3 separate regions of the Mus musculus genome follow, and all the other regions are reported to be linked to region 2. The links are microRNA targets in miRTarBase. Many come from high-throughput screens and were not tested one by one. Region 2 holds a microRNA gene; each other region holds the end of a gene's coding sequence.
Evidence for each region. Region 2 holds the annotated microRNA mmu-miR-124-3p (UAAGGCACGCGGUGAAUGCC, at 1,904-1,923, opposite strand). A microRNA usually pairs through its seed, bases 2 to 8, with sites in the 3' UTR of a target mRNA and lowers its output. Matches are read on the target gene's strand: a 7mer-m8 pairs with bases 2 to 8, a 7mer-A1 pairs with bases 2 to 7 and ends in A, and an 8mer does both.

Region 1: miRTarBase lists Nfkb1 as a target of mmu-miR-124-3p. The part of its 3' UTR that is shown has no 7-base or 8-base seed match.
Region 3: the mRNA of Myh9 is a reported target of mmu-miR-124-3p. Seed matches in the 3' UTR shown: 8mer at 5,316-5,323.

What each region holds. Positions count from the first base shown.
Region 1 is chr3:135,579,440-135,586,632 of GRCm38, forward strand. Nfkb1 (nuclear factor of kappa light polypeptide gene enhancer in B cells 1, p105) reads right to left here. Exons shown (of 25, transcript NM_008689.2): 25 at 5,216-6,076. The coding sequence ends at 5,916. Among named protein-coding and RNA genes, the nearest start is that of Gm46827, 25 kb to the right of the region's middle.
Region 2 is chr14:64,585,439-64,592,631 of GRCm38, reverse strand. It overlaps Mir124a-1 (microRNA 124a-1), which reads right to left and starts at 1,975; the gene lies at 1,891-1,975. It overlaps Mir124a-1hg (Mir124-1 host gene (non-protein coding)), which reads right to left and starts at 4,517. Exons shown (of 4, transcript NR_040709.1): 1 at 4,478-4,517; 2 at 3,665-3,855; 3 at 2,673-2,791; 4 at 1-2,359. Mir3078 (microRNA 3078) reads right to left here and starts at 1,447; the gene lies at 1,361-1,447.
Region 3 is chr15:77,755,357-77,762,549 of GRCm38, forward strand. It overlaps Myh9 (myosin, heavy polypeptide 9, non-muscle), which reads right to left. Exons shown (of 41, transcript NM_022410.3): 41 at 5,229-6,660. The coding sequence ends at 6,543. It also overlaps a transcript of Apol8 not described here. Among named protein-coding and RNA genes, the nearest start is that of Apol8, 3.7 kb to the left of the region's middle.

The sequences.
Region 1 (7,193 bases), not on the chromosome of region 2:
CCCTGGCAAACAGGTCGCAGCCAAGTGATTTTCAAAGTGTGTGTGTGTGTGTGTGTGTGTGTGTGTAGTTCAGAGGAAACTTTATGGGGCCGGTTCGCACCTTCTACCCTGTTGTGGGTCCTGGGGGATCTGACTCAGGTTGCCAGGTTCCTGTAGCGGGCGGCCTTACAGGTTGAGTCACCTTGCTGGCCCTGAGTGATGTCTAATTGAAATTTACTTACTGTGACTCTCTGGAAACTTGACACAAACCTCTGGAATAGATAGGGGAGAAGTTAGATGACAAATATAAAGAAGCCCCCGTAACCAAAGAAAAGATATGGCCATCAGCTGCTGCCTGTGGGGAGGGATGACATTCAACCGCCTGTCTGCTCCTCTTTGCAGCTTTAAGGAGTCCCTGTGCCTATGGCTGGCCCACGCGCTGTGTGCAAATGCTCTTCCCCAGCCCCTCACAATAGGCTTTTGGCTGGATGGTGGGGAAGGCAGGGCCAAATAGTGACTCTGATCTTCAAGGAGTCGAAACTAGGATGGAAGACGTGTAGAGCTGCTTTCGCATAGATCTGGGTGGCTCACACTAATGTGCTGTGAGCTCACACTGCCCTCACACAGGGGGAAAGGGTAGTATTTCTGTGGCTTGGTGGTTGAAGGACAGGTGCAGGGGCTGTGGCGCCCCAGGAAGAGAGTCGGATGGGTCATTACTAGCTTGGGTGGCAAGGCCTGTCTAGGAGGCTGCAGTAAGGTTCTCTAGAGGTGTCCTGTCTGGTCCTTTTGGCCTCTCTGGGTATGTTGGGAGGAGGGATTGTGCACTAATGGGACTGGAACCTGGGTGGGGTTGTTGTTTGAGACAGGGTTTCTCTGTCCTAGAACTCACTCTTCAGACCAGGTTGGCCTCCAACTCAGAGATCCACCTACCTCTGCCTCCCAAGGGCTGGGATTAAAGGTGTGTGTCACCATGGCTGGGCACATGGGTGTGTTTTTGAGGGCTATGTGCTTGTTAAGGGAAGGATTGCGTCCCAGGAAATTAAAGCCAGGCAGCGTTGAGAAACTCCTGCAAGCTCCAAAGCTAGAGAGAAGGGTCTGGAAGGAGAAGGAATGAGAGAGAGAGACCGGCATGTACTCTCAAGGCCCCTCCTGCCCTGTCTGGGGGCGGTTCTGTCTGGTTTTAGCGTTCTTAGAGGAAATGGTTTCACGGGTGCTGTCTTCCAGCTGTTTGGCCAGCTGTGAGTAATGTCCTTCAATGCCCCTGACTGGCAAGCTGTTGCTTCTGGCACATCCGTGTGATTTGTTCCGTCAGGGCCGCCTTGCACCTGTGAGAGGTTACAGACCGAAGCTGAGGCCTGAGCTGTAAAGACTCATGACTGAGTCTCTCTCTCTACAGAGAGTCCAGCCTCTCTCTCCAGGGAGGGCCAGACACCAGCACACGGTCTTGTGGACTATGGCAGGAGGTGTAACCCTTCCCCCCCCATTTACCTCAGAGTGTTATGGAAATAACGATTGGGAAGTATTTTTTAAGTGGAAGCACTCCTGTTTTTAAAGATATTTGCTTGTTTAATATGTAAGGTGGTTGTTCCCAGATCACAGAAAGAAATGTATTGGAAATGCATAAGGGACATTTGCATGTGGTCGGGAGATAGAGGTGTGTGTGTGTGTGTGTGTGTGTGCGCGCGCGCGCACTGCAGAACAAAGCCACCCATGCCATGATGCTTCTCATTCAAGTCATACTGTCACTTAAGTTGTACACTGTTGCTTTGGGAAAGGAAAGGGGATCTTCAACATTATCATTGTCATCGTTGTCGTTATCATTGTCATCATCATCATCACCACCATCGTTTACTTAGGAGACAGGGTCTCCTCCCTATGTAGTCCAGGTTGGCATCAAACATATGGTGATCCCCCTGCCTCAGCCTCCAGAGCACTGGCATTACAGACATGTGCCACAAGCCCAGCTTTACCAAGCAATACGTCCTTTTAGTGGTATTCTGGGACCACACTGCATATGGGTTGACACATTATGACTCCATCTTTGCACAGAGCTGGTATAAAAAAACAAGCCGGTTGTTCATCAAAGACTTTGAAAGCATCCTCAAAGACAGTCTTTGGAGTGGGGCTGACCTGTGTTTGACTCTGGGAATGGGTCAAATCTGAGCTCTTTGTCTGTGTTGGAAACTGAAAGGGGCTGGCGTGTAAAGACGCCCATTCTGGCTGGCTTCTGCCCCTCTGCGTTCTTAGCCAAGACTTAACAGGCTTTGGGGGCTGTACTCTGTACTGGTGACTGCTGTGTCTGCTGTGTCGCAGAGAGTTGCCCCAGGGGACCCAGGTGGGTAAATGAACAACAGCAGGGATTCCTCCCCCTCCCCCCACACCCCCAAGAAGAAAGGCCTGCAGATCCTGAAAAGGTTTGGGTTATGCCTGCAGAGTACAGAAACCTCAAAAGCTGACTGAAGTTCTGAGGAAGCTATTTTTGAGTGGCGGCCTGCTGTGAGGAAAGCTTTCAGGGCAAGCTTCTTTCAGGCTCATTGTAGCTTCCCACCCGACCAACCGACCAACCGCCTGTACTGCCTCTGGTGTTTATCTCCATCTACTGGCGTGAAGGTGGACTCTCCTTCCATTGAGAGGCAGGCAGTTCTGGCTGCCTTCATGTGGATTAGCGTAGAGACCTGGTAAGAAGGGGAAGTTTCTGGAACAAAAGAGAGCCAGGATTGTTTATTAAAGAAGAGAAATGCTATTTTACATATTGGTACGGGCAGCCTGGTTGGTGTCCCTCCAGTCAGTATCTTTTCTGCTGAACTTATGGTAGGCAAGCTGTCTTTTCAAATGCCTGGAGAATGGTGGTGTCCACTCTACACCCAGGGCTTAAAACCCCCACTAGTATTTAATTTGCTTTCAAATCTGTCATTTGAGGAGAACAGCAGAACAGCCCATGTCTATTATGGTCAGCATCTGCTGAGACAGCCCAAAGGCTAGGCAGGGTCACCTGGCAGCCGTCGGCTTGGCAAGCTTTGGCTAGGACCTCGGTTAAGGCTGTTGGCTGAACACCTGTACTGGCCTTCTCTTCATGGCTGCTTGGCACCCTCTGAACAGGGTGACTGAGTTCCAGGAGAAGGTAGTTCCGGGAAGGTTGGCAGAAATTCGGACCTAGTTTCGGAAGTCACTCAGCATCGTTCCTGCCTTGCCACAGGTGGCCTGGACTCAGGAGCCTAAACCCAGGAAACAATGGTGTCTCTCTGTGGGAAGGGCTTCAGCACCATGTTTTAAGACGCACAGCTAACAGCCATAGAAAGTCCTGGCTGGGGCATGGTGGCATGGCTGTCCCAGGAAGTATTACGAAACACCAAAGCAAGACAGTTTTGTCTTAAAGTTTCCAACGCAGAATAAGGGTGTGTTAGGGTGGAGAGAGGGTACTGTAATGGAAAACAGAATTTGCTGTTTAACCAGTTTCTGTTCATTTGTGATGCATTCTAAGAGGTAGAATCTGCTCTGCTTTTACATCACAGAATGAAGTCTCGATTAGGGCCTTCTCGATGTCAAGGGTGTTTGTCTAAGATTGGTGGTATGTCTAAAATTCGTATGGTTTAAATTTTCATACATATGGAATTTTTGGTAGAAAGGGATTCCGATTAATTGATGATTAGGCACTTAGAATATTTATTAAATAATTTAAGTATTATTAAGTAGCTTGTATTATATATTTAAATAATTAATCATTTCTTCATTAATGATATTTTACTTAATCTTATACCAAATCCCTACTAATAGATTCAGTCATTATCATCTTTTTTGTCCCAATAAAATCATTCTCTAACTCACAAGCCTAGGCGCTAAGTATCTGGATATAAACGCAGATGCACCTTAGCCACAACTGAGTTGCGCTCTCTGGACCTCCATTTTCTTCATTGTAAGTTTGGAATATTTTGTCATATGGACACTGACATACAAGATGTCTATTTGGGGTACCTTGAGCTGTGTGAGGGAGATAGCCCAGATCACTTTAGCCTGTCTCCCAGGATCTGAAGGTCCCAGCAATGGGAAAGGCATTCATATGACTACCATGGAAATGGGGGTGAGAGCTCTTTGTAGTGAAGGCAGTTCCCAAAGGTAATAGCTGGTGGGTTTCCAGGCCCTTCCGTGGGATCAGTAGTAGATCACTTGTGTGGCATGACAAGGCCTTAGGTTTTTGGTTTTTTCTTTCTGTGTGTATGGATGTTTTGCCTGCATGTATATCTGTGCACCATTTATATGCCTGGTGCCCACAGAAGCCTGAAGAGGGCATCATATTCCCTGGGACCGAAGTTACAGGTGGTTGTGAGCTGTGAGGGGTTCTAGGAATTAAACCTACTGACTGGTCCTCTGGAAGATCAGTGCTCTTAACTGCCAAGCCACTTCACCAGAAGGTTTTGGATTTGATCTTTACACTACACACTAAATGACCTTGGTCACACACCAGAGTCCAAACTAAGACCTCTTTCAAGCCATTAATCTTCCCTCTTTCTACTTTCAGCCATGCAGACTTACTAAACTCCATACTGGAAAATCTTTTACATATGTTGGAATTTAGTTTTTAATTAAAATGTATATTTTCTCATGATCTTAAACATGTATAGGATGTACTGAGATCATATCCACAAACCCCGCTGCCTTCTCGTTTCCGCCTCCTACTTTCCTGCTTCTGTGCTTGTGTGTATGAGTAAGTTTAATTAGGGCTGCCTGCATGAACATGGGGAGGGAATAGTTACTGGAGTATGTGCTATACCATTTGAAGAAAGGACTCCCATTCCCCTAGCAACTATTAACAGCCAGTTGCTGTGGTGTCTGTGTGTGTGTGTGTGTGTGTGTGTGTATTTCATCAGTCCCTCTCTATACATGATGAAGGACCACATCTTGTACAGGTTTTGTGTAGTTAGCTATGAACGCAACGGCCACATCGTATCCAGAAGATGAAGTGCTGAAGCTGGGGTCTGTTATCCTTCATAGACACAGACAGCATGCGCTGGAGAGGAACGGTGTAGAGATTGGAATGTTGATGCTAGGCGTCCAGATGATGTTGCCTGGGTCGGAACCTCAGTCTTGGGTTAGAACACTTTTATTTCCACAGTTTGAACATTTCTAGCTTCAAAGAAATGTGTCTAAAGGAGAATGTGGATGTGACAAACGGGCTGTGGGGCTGTTCCCACAGTCACAGGGACTCCTCTGAGAAAGCATTTGCAGAGATCAGACAAGATTAGGTCAACAATGTGCTTGTACTTTTATTATAAAAGTAAAATAAAAAAGTAAATAGCATTTATAAATTCAACATTTCTTCTTTTAAAGTATTTGATTTAGAAAACATATTTACAATAGTAAAATGCATAAAACGGGGAAAATACTATTTTCAGCACTGATTGTAGCATGTTTTAAATATTGTAAGTTCATGTGTTTTTTATTTTTAAATCACAGATAAACCACATTAAAAAAAGAAATGTCTTTTTTTTATTGCGCATCAAGGTACTCATTTAAAAATATGTTTTTCCTTAATCTTAATTTGAATGCACAACTTACAGTAGATGGCTAGAAAGGACACCGGGTGGGGACAGCGACACCTTTTAATGACAGCAGGAACCCAGCGGAGGGACAGCAGTAACAACACAAAGCAAATGTGATCCAGTAGCAGCAGAGAAAGCTCAAGACACTGCACCTGAGCCATAGAGTGCAGCTGAGCGAGCGAGCGCCATGATTGCTAGACACCGTCTGTGCGTGGCAACTACATTTCATTTCAGAACCAAGAAAGGACGCCAAATTCGGAAGGCCTTGAATGAAATCGAGTGACCCTGCAGGCCGGCGATTCTCCAGCACCTTTGGATTCGCTTTGCCTTCCTCCTTTGGGACGATGCAATGGACTGTCAGGGCTTTGGTTTACACAGTGTGGGGGAACGGCCAGCAGGCTAAATTTTGCCTTCAATAGGTCCTTCCTGCCCATAACCGTGGGGCATTTTGTTCAGAGATAGCAGTGGGCTGTCTCCAGTAAGAGACTCTGTAAAGCTGAGTTTGCGGAAGGATGTCTCCACACCACTGTCACAGACGCTGTCACTATCCCGGAGTTCATCTGCGGAGAAAGCACAGACTCATGAGGGGCTGAGTTAGGCCATGGCAAGGGCTTTGTTCTGCCTGCTGTCCCTGTCACCTTCAACTGTCAACTTCACACGTCTAGAATCACTTGAGGAGGGAGGTGCAGATGAGGGAGGGCCCAGCCAGATGAGACTGGTCTGTGGGCGTGTCCTGACAGTTAACTGACTGGAGGAGGACCTATCCTCTGTAGACAGCACCACTCCCTGAGAGGCAGTCCAGGGCTGTGTAAGAAAGCCAGTGGAGCATGAGCCCATGAGGCAGCAAGCCGGGGTGCTCAGCAGTTTCAGATTCAAAGTCTTTGGGTTCCTGCCCTGAATCCCTTCCATGATGGATAGGAGCTGGGGGCTGATATAAACCCAGAGAGCTTTGTCACAGTGCCCTAGAGCACCATCCACAGCAGTGGGCTCCCTCCCAGGCTCCGTGTGGACTATGGTATGGAGGGTTGTGCTTGCTAGCTCCTGCGCAGCACGGCATCCCACCTCCCCATCATGCCACCGGTGCTGCTTGGCTGTGTGAATGGCAGGGTTATCAAATGACATTAGAGAGTGCTACAGGGTACATCAGTCTTTCTGTTGAACAGAATCTGTTCTGAATTCTCTTGGTTCAGGATAAACATGTTTTCCTTTGTAAAGTGAGGCATATTTTTCTAACTGCTCTATCATTTTACCTTTTGTCTTTTTTTTTTTTTTTTTTTTTTTTAACGGCTGGGCAAACTGCTGAATACAAGGCAAAATAAACTCATAACAGAAGCAGGAACTAAAAATGGCACCTTTCTCTGAGCTGTATGAGCTTTTAAAGAATACACATTGCCTAGAAAATTTTCTTTTGGTGCAAGAAAATGAGGCTTTTTTTTTTTTTTTTAAATGTGTCTATACCAAAAGCTTAAGTTAAATTCTATCGCCTGAAAAGCATTCCTGGGAACCAGAGCAGATTATTTCTGTACAGAGTGACTAAAGAAACAGAAGCATAACACTTACTAAGCAAATGTTTGACTCTCATCATTGAATCTTAACGTCAGAACACTGAGACTCAATGACCATGCCAGAGCGGTGTCCTGGTGTTACCTCATCCAGTCAACTGTCTGTTGTGTAACA
Region 2 (7,193 bases):
TCATCTGCTTAGGCCATTGCTTGAAGGCAAAATAACATCTCAATGAGCACGGGGGGGGGGGGGCAAATGGGTGTACCCCCAAAATGGTACAGCACACTAGCCGTTCTCTTCTAACCCATTTGTGAAGTGAGGGAGCACCCCAGGAAAGGGCCAATTTTTATTTCAAGGGAGGTAGATTTTCTCGAAGCAATGGCTATGGCGTCTCTTAGGACAGCCATTGTGGCTGGGTCTTTCCCTTTCTGCCTTGAAAGCAGTCTGGCTTGTCCGGTAGGACTCAGCCAGAGACACCCTCAGGGTGTGGGCACTGCAGCTTTCTGCCTGCAAGAGTAAGCAGGCGGTGGCTTATTTCTGCAGAGCGGGAGAAGGTTCTGGGAATGCCTAGGTGGAATGTGGTAAATTGAAGCTCAGCCTGGCTAGCTCTAACATTCTCTTCTGTGAGGAAATTTAGAAGTTGAAATCATCGTAAAGAAGGACACATAGTAGATACTCAAGAAATAATGAATACTCTTGAGGAAACTAGGCCAGAGAGGTACTGATCTATGATATACCCTCAAATACTAATTTACTAGACTAGATGAGGCTGAGGCTTTTTGAGACAAGAGTCCTCCATTAACTTCAACGGATGCTCTTTTAGACCCTGATTACTGTGTTAGGAATCAGATTAAACTCCTAAACATCCTTCATGGGCTTGGCCTTGCAAAGGCAGGCCTCTGGCATGACAGCAGGGGGGAGGGCTACAGCCTGCTTCCTGGGGGTGGGTTGTGGGGGGGGGGAGGAGGCCAGCTCTTGGCCTCCTTTCCCTCCCTCTGCTGCTGGGTCCTGCCCCTCCTCCATTTACTCCACCTGAAAATTAATGAGTTTAGGTCGGCCACCAGGCCATCATCCATCCACTGCAGGTTGGCGGAACACTGAGATGGAGACGGGATGGAACTGTGTCGGGGGCCTCCAGGACCAGCTGCTGCTGTTGGGGGCTGATTTGGGAAGCAGGTGCTTCAGGATGAGGGAGGATTAACCCTTTCTGTTCCTGGACAGCCTGCTTCAAAACAGACTTTCCTTAGGCCTCCACCTTACTCATGCTGATTTTCCTTCTGTCTTGGGGTTTTAAGAGCGATGGGGAGAGGCCCACACTCTGGGGGCTGGGGGTGGGCTGCGCCTCCTTTTCCTGTAGCTTCTGGATTTCTGCCTGAAACTTCAGCCACAGCCCCAAGGAGGCTGGGAGGCCCTGCTTTAGAGCAGTGGGCTAGCTGTCAGTTTTGATGGAGTCTGTGCGCTGTCCATGAACAAATTTGCCGATCGCCTTCGCTCACTCCAGAGATCTGTTTAAGCTTGTCAAATGCCCACAGCTCTCCACCAACGGGTGACAAACAGCTTCCCCTAAAGACTACCCCAGCAACCCCAAGCACAATACAAGGTAGCTGCAGTCTAGGCTTTGGGGCAGTCTGCCAGTCGCATGGGTACTTGGTTATTATTATTTGTTTAAGGGTAATAAATTGAAATCCGGAACTAAGACAGGTAGGGATGAAGGTGTCGGCCTTCTACAATGGGCAGGGTCCCAGAGCTGAGGGGCACATTTTACTCTCCAGCCGTCCCCAGGCTATTTTCTGCCGCCGCCGCCGCCGCCGCCACCACCACCACCACCCCCCCGCTTGCATAGATCCGTGTTTCTGTCACAGAATGAGTTGTTTGCTTCCTAGATTCTATTTGCATCTGCACAAACCCCTCTCTGTCGGTAGCTGCACACCTCCCCACCCTAAGGGCTACTTTGCGAGGCACTCAGAAGCCTGCTACCCGTACTGTGGGCGCCTGCAGCTGCAGCGCTGAGATCTGCCCAGGGCGTTGTGCTGGGTCGATCCTTCCGTGGCAGGCCCTCGTGGACCCAAGGTGCTCAGACAGCCCCATTCTTGGCATTCACCGCGTGCCTTAATTGTATGGACATTTAAATCAAGGTCCGCTGTGAACACGGAGAGAGAGGCCTTTCTCCTGAGGAAGGAAGAAGGAAGGAAGGAAAGAAAGAAGGAAGGAAGGAAAGAAAGAAGGAAGGATGGAAAGGAAGGAAGGATGGAAGAGAGGGAGGATGGGAGAAAGGAAGGGAGGAAGAAAGGAAGGAAAGGTGGAAAGAAAGGGAGGGGATGGGGAGAAGATGAGATGAAAAAAATGAGAGATGAGAAAGAAAAAGCTGGCGACGCGTGCGTGTGCGTGCGCACTGACAGCAGGGAGGGTGTGGGGTTGGGGAACGCGATGAGCTAAGGACCACCGCATCCTTCCTACCGCAGCTCCCCCAGTCACAGACAATGAGATAACAGCCACGTCCTCCGTAGGCTCTTTGTTCTCCCGCATCCTTTCGTTTCCAAGCTTTTTCCTGCAAAGGGGAGGGGGGTGGAGGGTTCGGGATGTGGGTGGAAGTGGGAGACGGAGGGGTGCCTCCCCCGTGTTAATTACCCCGACTCCCTCACTCCTCTCCTCGCGCTTCGCCTCCCCTGCAGTTCCAGACAATGAAAAAACATCAACCCCACCTCGCCCCACCGCAGCGAATCCTACCCACCCAGTTCGCTCTCAGCTTCGCCTAGGAAACTGAGGGGGGCCAGGAGGAGGGAGATGACGGAGAGGAAAGGGATGGGAAGCAGGGGCCCAGCTACTGCTGCCTGGGCAGGGCTTGTGACCGCCGCCTTTACCTTGAGTGTAGGGTCCGGGTGTAGCCTGGCCGGGCGTGCCGCAGGGCAGAGCTGCTGCGGTCCCTTACCAGGATCTGTGGGAATCAGCCTTCCGGAACTCTCCTGCTGCGGTCCTCTCGCTTAGGTCCCAAGTGGTGGATGGGAAAAAGGAAAAGAAAAAAAAAATAAATAAATAAGAGCGAGGCCCATCTGGCCCCTCATCAGCCTTGTCAAGTCTTGCATACGCTAAAATGCTAATGACCTAGATAGCTCATGCAAAATGCAGCAGGGAGGGACAGAGAAGGAGGGGGAGCGAAGGGAGAGCGAGAGAGGGAGGAGTGAAGGGAGAGGGAGGGGGAGACAGAGGGAGGAGGGAGACTGGGAGGGGGGAGGGGGAAAAGAGAGAGAGAGAGAGCGCGCACCCCTACATGTTCCCCCACCCCACCCGTCAACCGGTTTTACAGAGGTAAAGGGTGGGTGTAGATTTTAAAAGGTCACCCCTATAGAATGTAGCTGGGTGGGGTGGGGGAGAGATCCCCAAATCCATAGGGACAATAAAATATTATTTTAAGACCCCTCCCTCTCTGCTCTCCATCACTCTGTTTACACACAAGTCCAGTCACCTTATGCATGTACATGTCAATTTCACAAGACTGCTTTCAACAGACACCCACGTTGCCATTCCCTGAACAAACCCACCCAGTGCACCAGAGTGAGGAAGGTGCTTCCTAACCCACAGACCTCCCTCACCTGGTCCATCCCACTCCCTACTAGTGCCTTATCCTTTCAGGCAGTCGTCCCCCCCCCCCCTTTCTCTTTTCTAAGCCTTCCCCATTCTCCTTCCCAATGGCTCAAAAAAGCCAGGTAGAGGGCATAGAGGACAAGTTAAATCTAACTGGATCGGTTCCGTTCAGCTTCCCACCCACCCCACAGGGTTGGGGGACACAGTCTTTACCTAACACTGACCCTTTTAAAGCATGCCACAAAAATCAATAAAATTGAGTCCGAATAACCTCAGAGGTCCGCAGGTCCGGCCGGGTACTGTTGGGCAGCGTTGATCTCTCCAATCGGGGAGCCAGAGTTCCGCGCGTCCCAAGACGCTTTGTCCCGGAACCCCCGCACAATATCCTCATCTTTTTGTTCTCCTTTAAAGGATCCTGGTTGCAGTCCGCCGCGTTTCAGCCAGTCCAAACCAAAGGCGGATCTATTGGAATAAAAAGGGATGGGGATAATATACACGCAGATGGATGCGGGAGAGTAGTGGAGGCTAAAGTCAGCCCCGCAAGCAAGGAGCGGCCTCCCTGGCCAAGCCCCAAGTGCTTCCTCGGCTATTGAAGGGAATTGCTGCTGGCAGGCGCTGATGCTGGCTCCACCTGGCCGGAGGAAAAGCATCCTGGCGATGACCCTGAAAGAATTAAGACACAAAACCAAAAAAAAAAAAAAAAAAAAAAAAAAAAAAACCCCAAACCGAACCAAACCACCAAAACAAAAAAGCAAAAAGCCAGAATCCTCCTCTGGTGAACCAGAGCACGCGTGCAGAAGAAACCGCTCTGCTGGTGGCCGCGGTCGAGGGGGAAGGATGCTAGCGCAGGAGGCGAAGGTTGCAGAGGCTGCACCCTCAGATGAATAATAATAACGCGCTGAGAAGTTGCAGTGCAGCTTGGAAATCCAGCCCTGCGCGTGAACTCGCGTCGAGTGCGGATTGCAGGGGATGGGGGAGAAAGGGGGGGGGGTGAGGAGAGAAGAGAGGGGGAGGGGGTGAGGGGATTGAGAGGAAGACAGAGAGAGGGACGCAGAGAATTTAGTGCCTTTTCTTTTAGTCTTACCAAGAGCTGATCTCCTTCACTGTCCTCGTTGGGTGAGGCCGAGGTCCTTTTTAAAAATTATTATTCCTTTAACGGATTATTCAGCTAAGAGAAGCCACATCTGCTGACAGTTCCGAAAACAAGAGGATTAGGAGTAGGTCCACAGAGCCCGGCCCGCAGCCCCCCCCCCCCCCCTCTGCACCAGCACACGTCACTCTCACTGCCCCCGGGCACCTCCCTCTCCTCGCTCGGTGTTCGGGAGGGTTGTGCCAAGAAAAATGCGGATTTGGGGAAAGTGAGAAGTGGGGGTGCTCTCACGAACGGGAAAGCCAAGGCCGGAGGTGGCGATTCGCACCCCCACACTTACACTCGCTTCCGTTTATCCGTTTAGATCCTGGGAGAAGTGGGTGCTTTCACCGCACCCACACGCGCCGCATCTGCAGTGGTCAGAGCCCTCCGATCCCTTGAAGCCACCCTGGCCGCCCCAGACCCTGCCAAAGTCCTCTGGGTGGACTCGGGGGGCTCAATCCTACCCCTGCCTGAATAGCTTCATGGTCTCCAGTCCTCTTTTTCTCAGTCCCCTCCGTGCAATACCGCCGCTAGCCCACTCCCGGTTTCTTGAGCTTCGGTCAATGGAGTGGGGAGCTCGGGGGCACTTGCACACCTTCTGCTTGTCGTCCTCAGCCCGAATTGCCGGGCTGTAGCTCAGCCAGGCTGGTGAGGATGGAGCTGGGTGCTGCTGCGGTTGTGGTTGCTGTCACTGCGGAGAGCGCGAGGCTGCGGGGCGGTGCGGCGACCCGAGCGCCAGTGCAGCCTCCTCCTCACCCCTCCCTAGGCTGGCGTCTGGGCAGGACAGTGCTGGGGGTGGGAAGACGAATGGCGGAAGGTGGGGGGATGGAGGACCATAGTCTCTTGTCGCCCCCACCAACGCCCCCCCCCCCGCAGTCAAGGTGAAAGTGAAGGAGAGCGGGCGCGCGTGCTCGCGCCTCTAGTTGCGTGCGCGCGCTCCTCCCCTGCCCGCGCCCTCCCGCCCGCCCTCGCCCGCCGGGGCCAGATGGACGTCCGAGATTACAGAGGCACAAAAGTGCGTCTACACGTCCAGCCACCCGTCCTGCGGACGTGGAGAGCCACTTCGGGGAGGCGCCTTTTGTTGTACTTGTGTGGCTGTGTAACTGTTTTTCTTTTCCAAGAGCAGAGTTAGCTGTGGCTTAAAGAAGGACCAAGAATGAATGTCCCCCATAAGAGCGAACCAAAAAGACCTTCCCCCACTCGAGCCCCCGCGCCTGCGATGAGAAATCTGTCTTCCCAAAGGGCTATTGCGGCAGCCGCGAGGCAGCCCCGACCTGCTCACGCAGGCCCATCTGCTTTCCCTACGCCTGCTTTTCTTTGATGACTTAAAAGAAACAAATAAACAAACAAACAAAAAAAACTGAACTGTTTCTTGGGCTATGTTGAATTCAAGACATCTAGACAGGGGAGAACAAACTCGGAAAGCTAAAAGCAGTCTTAAATGTTGTGGCTGTCAATGGCCAGTGCAGAGGGTGGTGGCCGCGGCGCCCACCTAGCCCTGATGGACCTCCGGGGATGCCCCCTGGATGGAAGGCCATTTCTGTTTCTGTCAATTGTTAGGTAAGGACCCCAACAGAAGAACGGCTGTAACAAAACCTCCCCCATGTGCTGTTTTTTGCTTCAACACTGTGTGGCTAGAAGCTTAGGAAATAAGCTGTTTTTGTAAATTTCTAGAATTGAGAATCTTAGGAGGGGTGGGTAAGAACTAGAAAACATCCTTGTGACGGATTTTAATTAAAAAAATGTAACTAGTTGGCAAAGGCCCCTCGCTAGGCAATCTTTCTGGGAGCACTGACCACTTTCATAATAGTCCCCACTAAATCGCTGGTCTCTCTCTGCGGTGACTTGGTCTTACTTACCACCATTTTGATCAAGGTTTTTAGCTTTAGGACTATTCTAATGTTCTGTCTATAAAGCATTCCTCGGCAGACAGTTTCGAACCCCTGCACCAGGAAAGGGTGGGGCTGTGACTTGAGGTCTAGTCGGTTTTGACTGAAGAGCAATGGGACATGGAGGATACTTTCCTGTGCTAGACTGTCAGATAGGCCTAGGGTTTTGTTTAGCTTAAGAACGTTTTTAATGCAATTCTCCTGCGCCGTTGCGGCATTGCGGGACGCTGGCTCTCTCGTCTTGCTGCGTGGGGCGCGCGCGCCGGGGTGGGGGTGGAGTGGGGGAGCGGAGACCTGGTTTTGTAACAGGCTCCGCAGGCCCGAGTGGGAACGCCTTAAATGATGAGCCCAGGGTTAAAAAAGAAAAAGAGAAAGGGAGTGGGGGGTAGATACGGCAGCTGATGCTGAATTAATAGTTAGAGCATACCCCTGGGACTTTCTCCAACCAGGGGGTCAGGAGTCCTTGCCCCTCCCCCAGCCACAGATTTCATATCTGTTTTTAACCAGTCTGAGCGGACGGATGCTGGGCCATTTGTAATGGCTTCTTAAAACCTAAACCCTTGGGCTTAAGGGCTGTCTATGCGCCTGATCAAACTCACCCCAAGTACTAACACGTTAAGAAATTACATTGTAAAACCTCCCCAAATCGGATTGACTGGGCTGTTTGGGGCCCATATGGCTGGACAGCTGGACAGCTCCGCTGAAAAGACACCATTGCCCCACGGATGGGATAAAGCAGGGCTTCCCCAGAGAGCTCAGACATGACCTAAGTATTAGCG
Region 3 (7,193 bases), not on the chromosome of region 2:
CTGTGCAGCCCTGATAGGAGCCCTCTTCTTCCCAGCTGGAACCCGAGCAGAGTTGCGCAAAGCAACCCTCCAACCCCATCCCTTCTGATGGTTTCAGGGCATCCTCAGAGCAGGGAGGGAGGGAGGGAGGGAGGGAGGGAGGGAGGGAGGGAAGACACCTTGCTCCTTCTAAGGGGTCCTTGATGATCTCTCAGGGTCAAGTTGAATCCCCTTTAGTCAGCACTCCAGGCCTCAAGCCCACTGCAGTCTCCCCCCTCCCAACCAGCCCCTGCTTCTATCATACATACACCTTCAAGTCTATCCTGCCTCAGTGACCATGACACCTCCGTGTCTTTGCTGTGGCTGACCCTGTAGTGAGACTTTCCCACTCCACAATGGGACACTCCTGTTCTTTCTGCCCCTTCATCTTCCCACAGTGGCTGTGGCACCTGGCTCCCACTGTAGAGACTCTAACCCCACCCCACAGGTGGGCAGTGGCCTTGGGGGGGTCAACAGCACAGGTGATGTATCCATCGGTTGAAAACACAGGTTCCTGGTGGGCAGAGTGGAGACCCATGCTGGCCCATTTACTCTGAGACTGAAGCACTAAGTGGGACCTTAAAAGGCCACATTGGTGGCACAAACCTAGAATCTCAGCACTCAGGAAGAAGCTTAGATGAAAAGATGATAGGTTTAGAGCCAGACCTGGCTATATGGGGAGACTAGAATTTCTACGGAATTAGCCTGTGCGTTTCTGCACACTCAGAGTCTCTCTCTCTCACACCCAATGGTCTACTCAGTGATCTTAGGATTGCAGAGCTGGTATTGCTCTGGGGATGGTGTTTGGCAATGTGCCCCTCTTAGTCCCCACACCTTGTGTCCTTGCCTATCCAGACACCCAGGACAGCTCCTGCTTTCTGCCTTCATCCCTCACATACTGATAACAGGAGTCAGGGGAGATGTGAGCCTGTGATCCAGCTGACTAGTCTGCCCTTGGCAAATCACCCCACTACTGACTGGGCCCTCAGTTTCCTCGCCCCCCATAGGCCCTGAAACAGAGTGATGCCCAAAAGGACAATTGGATGAGAGCTTTTGGGCTGTCCACATCTTTAGGAGCCAGATTTAGTCCCTGTCAGACAACCAGGGAGGCAGAGCCAAGATTCAAACTAAGATAAACATTCTGACATGTGGCACTCATAATCCCCCTTTTTGCTTCTGGTAATTTTGGGATCATTTTTTTTCTATAATTTCCCTTCCATCAAGTTTTCACACACACACACCCCTTACCTGGTACCAATACCAGGATTGATATTAATATTAACTCAACAGCCAAACAAAAGTACTTCAAGGTGCAGAACCAGGTAAATTCCCCTATGAGCCAGAGAGCAGTAACGGAGACCTTCTAATCAGAGCATGGAATAGACCAGAACATGGTCTCTCCAACAGTCTTGGATGGAACCCCCTGGATAGGACTCACTTGGCAGGTTAGGGCATAGAGATCTTGAACCCTAGAAACTCCTCAGCATCTGAAAATCTGCTACTCAATAGCTCAGCTTGACTGGTGGCATCCGAAGCAAGTGTCCCAGGATGTCCTGCTTGACATCTCAGCCTAATCTTTGGCAACGACGGCCACGGGGATCCTAACGCAAAGGAAACAACCCTGAAACTGGGGAGCAAGTCAGGCAGGGTACAGCACCATCTAGTGGATGGTGGAGGGATCAGCAGCCAAAGCATCGGGCCACCATGATCACTCCCATCCCAGCACTCACTGGTGCAGACAAGCTACGTTTTAAATGCTTGTCTGGATGCTACACTGGCTGTCCCAAGACAGGCACCCTCCTCTCGGAGAATGCAGAAGGGGACAGGGACCTGCCAACTGAGCACTGGGCACGGGGCTTCTAATGTACTTAAATGGTCACCCCAGACTAACCTGTCAGGACTGCAAAACACGGGAGAAAAAAAAAACATCTCCCTCATTGATAGCACTGCATGACAGCCTGGGAGTGAGAAGGGCGACCACTGCTCCCAGCCACCACAGCCTGGCCACCAGCCTCATTCAGAGAACTGTCCTGTCTTTGCTCAGATGGGATGTCATGTCTCCAAATGTGATGTGTCAGCTTCGGGATTTAGAATGAATGTAAAAATGACAGGATCTAAATCACAATTATTGGACTTTTGCAATGACACACAAGTAGCACTGCCCTCGGCTTGATGCACATATAATGGTCAGGAGCATCAGACACACCGGCTGGGTGAACACAGCAGCTCTGGGATTCTGATTTCAGACAGGCAAGTTAGCAACCCAAGAGGCTGGAGTTTGCCTCCAGACTGTCTAGCGCTGAGGATGAGAGGGGTGCTGGAGAGAGGATCCAGGCTCAAGTTCGGCAGACTCTCAAATAGGAGGGAAGAGGGGCTGGGGAGCCACCCCACTAGACAGCTCTGCAACACACTCCTTAGTCACTGAAGAAGGCTGGCTGATGTCACTGTCATGGCACAGCATGGCCTTGAAATTCATAGCACCTAGCTGCTATAACCAGAATGGAGGCCACAGTACGGTGTTGGCAGAGCCCGTAAACCAAGAATCTGGGATTACTTGTGTGGGCCTTAAATCCAATGCCAAGTGTCCTTCTATTATGTATACAGCCTTCTACCTGAATGTATGCCTGCAGGCCAGAAGAGGGCACCAAATCCCATTACAGATGATTGTGAGCCACCATGTGGTTGCTGGGAATTGAACTCAGGACCTCTTGAAGAGCAGTCAGTTCTCTTAACCTCTGAGCCATCTATCTCTCCAGCCCATAAAACATCTTTATCCTTAAAAATATTTTAAAGATGGGGGAAGCAGGCCACATGAAGACAAAGCAGATACTGGGGTGGTGCTGGTCCAAGCCATGGGATACATGGACCCACCAGATTCTCTCGGAGAAAACACCTCAGCTTTGAACTTGAGAGTAGCTCTCTGTTGTAGGCTATCTGGCATGTGGTAAGCTACAGTAACCCTAGGAAAGGCAGAACCAATAGAGGCTGGTCTAGAAAGTAGGGTTTGCCACTCGTTTTATTCAGGAGGGGAATGAAGCATCCATGAGGTTAGAGCAAAGATTGCCATCTCCATCCTCCTGACTGGACACCCCTGCAGGTCCCGCACCAGGCTCTGGGAGCCTGGCATGCACCTGAATCCTCTGGAGGACTGATGGCATCCTGTGTCCAGATTCTCTGAGGCAGCAGGTCTGCAGTGGTTATAAGATTGGACTCTCAGAGGGCCAGAGCGATGAATCAGAGCGGCACTGGCCGCTCTTGCAAGACTCGGGATCAATTCTCAGCACCCAAGTGGTGGCTCATAGCTGCCTTTTAACTCCAGTTTCAGGGAATCTGATGCCCTCTTCTGAGATCCACAGAGACATGCAGGCAAAAGATTCATTGCTACATCTACTCCAGTAGTGACTCGAATTACAGGTTTAGAAACCTGGAAGCATTCCTGAGGCAGAGTTTCAAGGAACCTTGGCATTCCCATAGCTAGGATGCCACAAATTTGTCCCTGCAATATTGTGGAGGGTCTTGCATGCTTTCTTACAGTATTTTACTGGATAAGAGTTAGAAATCTCAGGGCAAGCTTAGCAAAGTATACCTAGAATCTTCATTACAGTCAGGTATGGCAGAATATATTGCATATTGGAAGTAAGTTGGTAAGTTGGTGAATTCTTCTGACAAATGGAGATTCCCTACAGATAACTTAAAAGAACAGCCAAGTTACACTCATATGCAAGAATTTACCAAGGCCTAGGAAATAGGGGGGTTGTGGTATTGCATTATTCATAAGGTCTGCTTGAGCAGAAGCCCCTGGTGCTAGCTTTCACAAGGCTCAGAGGAGTAGCACAAACCGTGACTAGGGTGTGAAATCCTTTCCTGTCATTAGCTGACCCTAGGCAGGGCTGTAAACATTACCTGGTTCCTGTAAGTCCTTTTGAAGTCATTCCTCTATTTTGTGTCAGGTAACTTCAATGTACTGTGCCTGCTGTGACATCCTACCCCTAAGACTGGTGTTCGCTTTGTGACAATACATTCAGATTCAGCACTCTCCCTTGAGTCCGCATCTGTCTGTCAATTCTTGCCGACTCTATGCCCATCTGTCCGAACCCCTGATTCCCAAGGATTGAGGGGGGCCGACTGAGCCCAGTCCGTGGCAATTCATACAATAAAAATAAAGACCAAAAAAAGTACCCTAACTCTGTCAGATGCTGCTGCAGCCAGGCTAGGGTTCCACACAGAGCTGCTCGCCCAGCCAGGCTAGTTGATAACCCAAAATGTTCATCACAAGACTTGACCAGAAATCAACACTGCAGTCAATTACAGTTGAGGGCTGGAGACCTGATCTTTCTAAGAAACACAGGGCAGAGATTCCAAGCCCGGTGCTGCGAATAAATACAAATAATAAAAGGCAAAAGACGGGGCTGGAGGAATGGCTTAGTGGGTAAGAGCACTGGCTGCTCTTCCAGAGGTCCTGAGTTCAATTCCCAGCAACCACATGGCGGCTCACCGCCATCTGTAATGAGATCTGATGCCCTCTTCTGATGTGTCTGAAGACAGCTATAATTTTACTCATATACATAAAATAAAAGAAAATTTTAAAAAAGGAGAAAGACACAGAGGCACACTGAGGATGAGCAGGTAACAGATGAAAACAGGAAGATGAGCTGTGTAAATCTAGCAGGCTGCAGGCTGCTTGCTCTGGGGGCGCGGCCATGAGAACTGACTAGTCTAACGGGAGTCTGTCTCCCAGGCTTCTGTCACTGTGTTGGTTTGACACATTCTGGATCCTCTTTTGTGTGTATGGGGGGGGGGGGGGAGAGCGCGCGCGCGTGCGTGCACGTGTGCACATGCTTCATCTGCCACCGCTGATGCTGAGTGTTTGCGGTGCACACTGCGCGCCTCCCCAGCTTCTGCTCACCACCCACTCCTCCCACTTTCTGCCTCTGGAACCGCAGCATCTCCTCCAGAGCCTCCTTCCTCCTAGAGGAGAAAGGCGAGCCCAGCATGTGGAAGGAGAGGAGAATTCCTGAACCAGCCCTGGGCCCATTGCTGTCCAGCCTCTTGGCCTGCAGGGAGGGAGGAGGTCCCTGCTGCTGCCCAGGATGTCTTGGAACACCCCCTCTCAAACTGCTAACTAAGCAGAGTCAAGTGTGCTCTCCTGTGACCGCTGGCCCAGCCCTTCCCGGCCTTCTCCCGCTGTAGCCAAACACCCAGACACCAAAGAGTAGGACATGGTACTCTTTATTGTGACGCTCAGTGGAAACATCTGTAAACCAGCTTACTGTAGTGGTGACAGCTGCGACACATGCTAAGGCACTTGTATTATATAAAAAAAGGGGTGCGGGTCCCACTTGCTCCTTTATGACAGCGCCTTTGGGACCTGGATTCAGCTTCTCTAGCGTATGTGGCTTCATGATTTGACTGGTTTTCCTTTAAAAAAAAAAAAAAGAAAAGAAAAAAAAAAAGAAAAAAAAAGCCTTCCTGCCATAAGGGAACCTAATCACAGCATTTACAAACAGTGAGGTGCAGTGCGCAGGGAACTCAGCGACCAGTGTAGACATTGTAGGGCAAGCTACTCTCTTCTAAACACAGTTCCAGGGCAAGGCAGTGAAGACACCCAGAACTAGAGCACTTACTACAAGAAGGGAAAAATAAAACCTTTTTTTTTCTTTCAAAAGCATCCTTGTGGAAGGCAGACTTGAAGCTATAGAGTGGGTGGCACAGCTCGACCACCCTTGGCCCCAGTCCTAGGAGAGGCACCAGAGCGCACAGTGGGCTCCAGCCCTTGGATATTCTGGCTGCCAGGCCCTGCAAGTCCCTTAACCATTAAATATATTTGGTCCCCTAGAGTGCTGGGAGAAGCCACCGGAAGGCTGTTGGCCTTTCTAGAGTGGCCCTGATGCCCTGTCTGGTTTGCCCCGGTGCCAGGACGGTCTGTCCTTGGCAAGGGAGGGGAGGGGCATTGCACTTGAGACGGTTTACAGTCGGAGGAGCAGAGGCACCAGTGCTGCCCAGAAGGGAGTGGGGGGATTCCCAGAGTGCCCCATGTTCTGCACCCAGCACAGAGGCTCCTTCTGGACCAATAGGGCCCAGGGAAGGGGGCCATAGGGCAGGTATGAGGTTACCGTGTGTGATTGCCAACAGCAGGGGGGACGGGGGACGGGGACAGCCGAGGTCGGGGAGGGTAACACTACTAGAGGCCTGAGCTATCAAAATCTTTATCTGAAGACAAAATAGATTCATAGAAAACTCTTGTGCCTACTCCAATGGCCGCCCTTCTTGCCCACCACCCGTGCTTTCAGGCAAGGAGGACAAGACCCTGTGGGTCATCCGGCCTGAGCCAGCCTGGACTCTTTGGTATCAGATTCTCAAAGGGTATGGAGGACTGGAAGGGCTGCAGCAGAGGAAGCCAATGCCCTCGGGAAGGCCTTGGGAGGAGGGGGACATGGTCAGAGCAGTCTCAAGGCAGGGGTGTGGAGGGTTGGGGGAGGGAGGCAGAGCCGTTTGTCCATCCGCCTGGGCTGCAGGAGAAGCTCCTATTCAGCTGCCTTGGCATCGGCCCCATCTGCTTTACCGTCGACCTCCTCGTCTGAGCAGTCGCCAGTGCCTTTCCGAACAATTCGGCGAGTCACGACAAATGGCAGGTCCCCACGCCTGTGGGCAGAGGCAGAGGGTCAGTGGGGCCCAGCTAAAGAGAAATGGGCAGCCCAGTATGAAGACTTCAAAGTGGTCTTTAGAGGGAAGGAGGCCAAGGAGCAACCCTGCCCGAGGAAGTGGACCACCAGAGCAATTGCCAGCCTTAACTGCCGGGTGCCTTTACTACAGAGCACCAGCAGAGGGGGCTGCTGGAGGCAGGTGGAGCTGCCTTCTGCACGGCCTGCCTGTGCTCAGGCCTCACAAGTAGGCAGGGTGAGTGGGGAGTGGCTTAGTGGCAGAACACATGCCTAACACACGTGGGACCCCGAGTTCTATCCCAGCACCACAAAACGAAATAAGTGGACCCAGAAGCTGAGGAACAGCTGTTCACACAGGAGTTGGGGGCATCCTCTGGATGTTAGAAAGCACAGATGAAATTCTCAGGAAAGTCTGATTTTCATGCTTCAGAAAAGATCCCCTCTGACTGGAGGGAGAATGGCCACTAACACTAACAGAACCAAGCTTTCCTGCGTGCTGCACGTGACCCATGC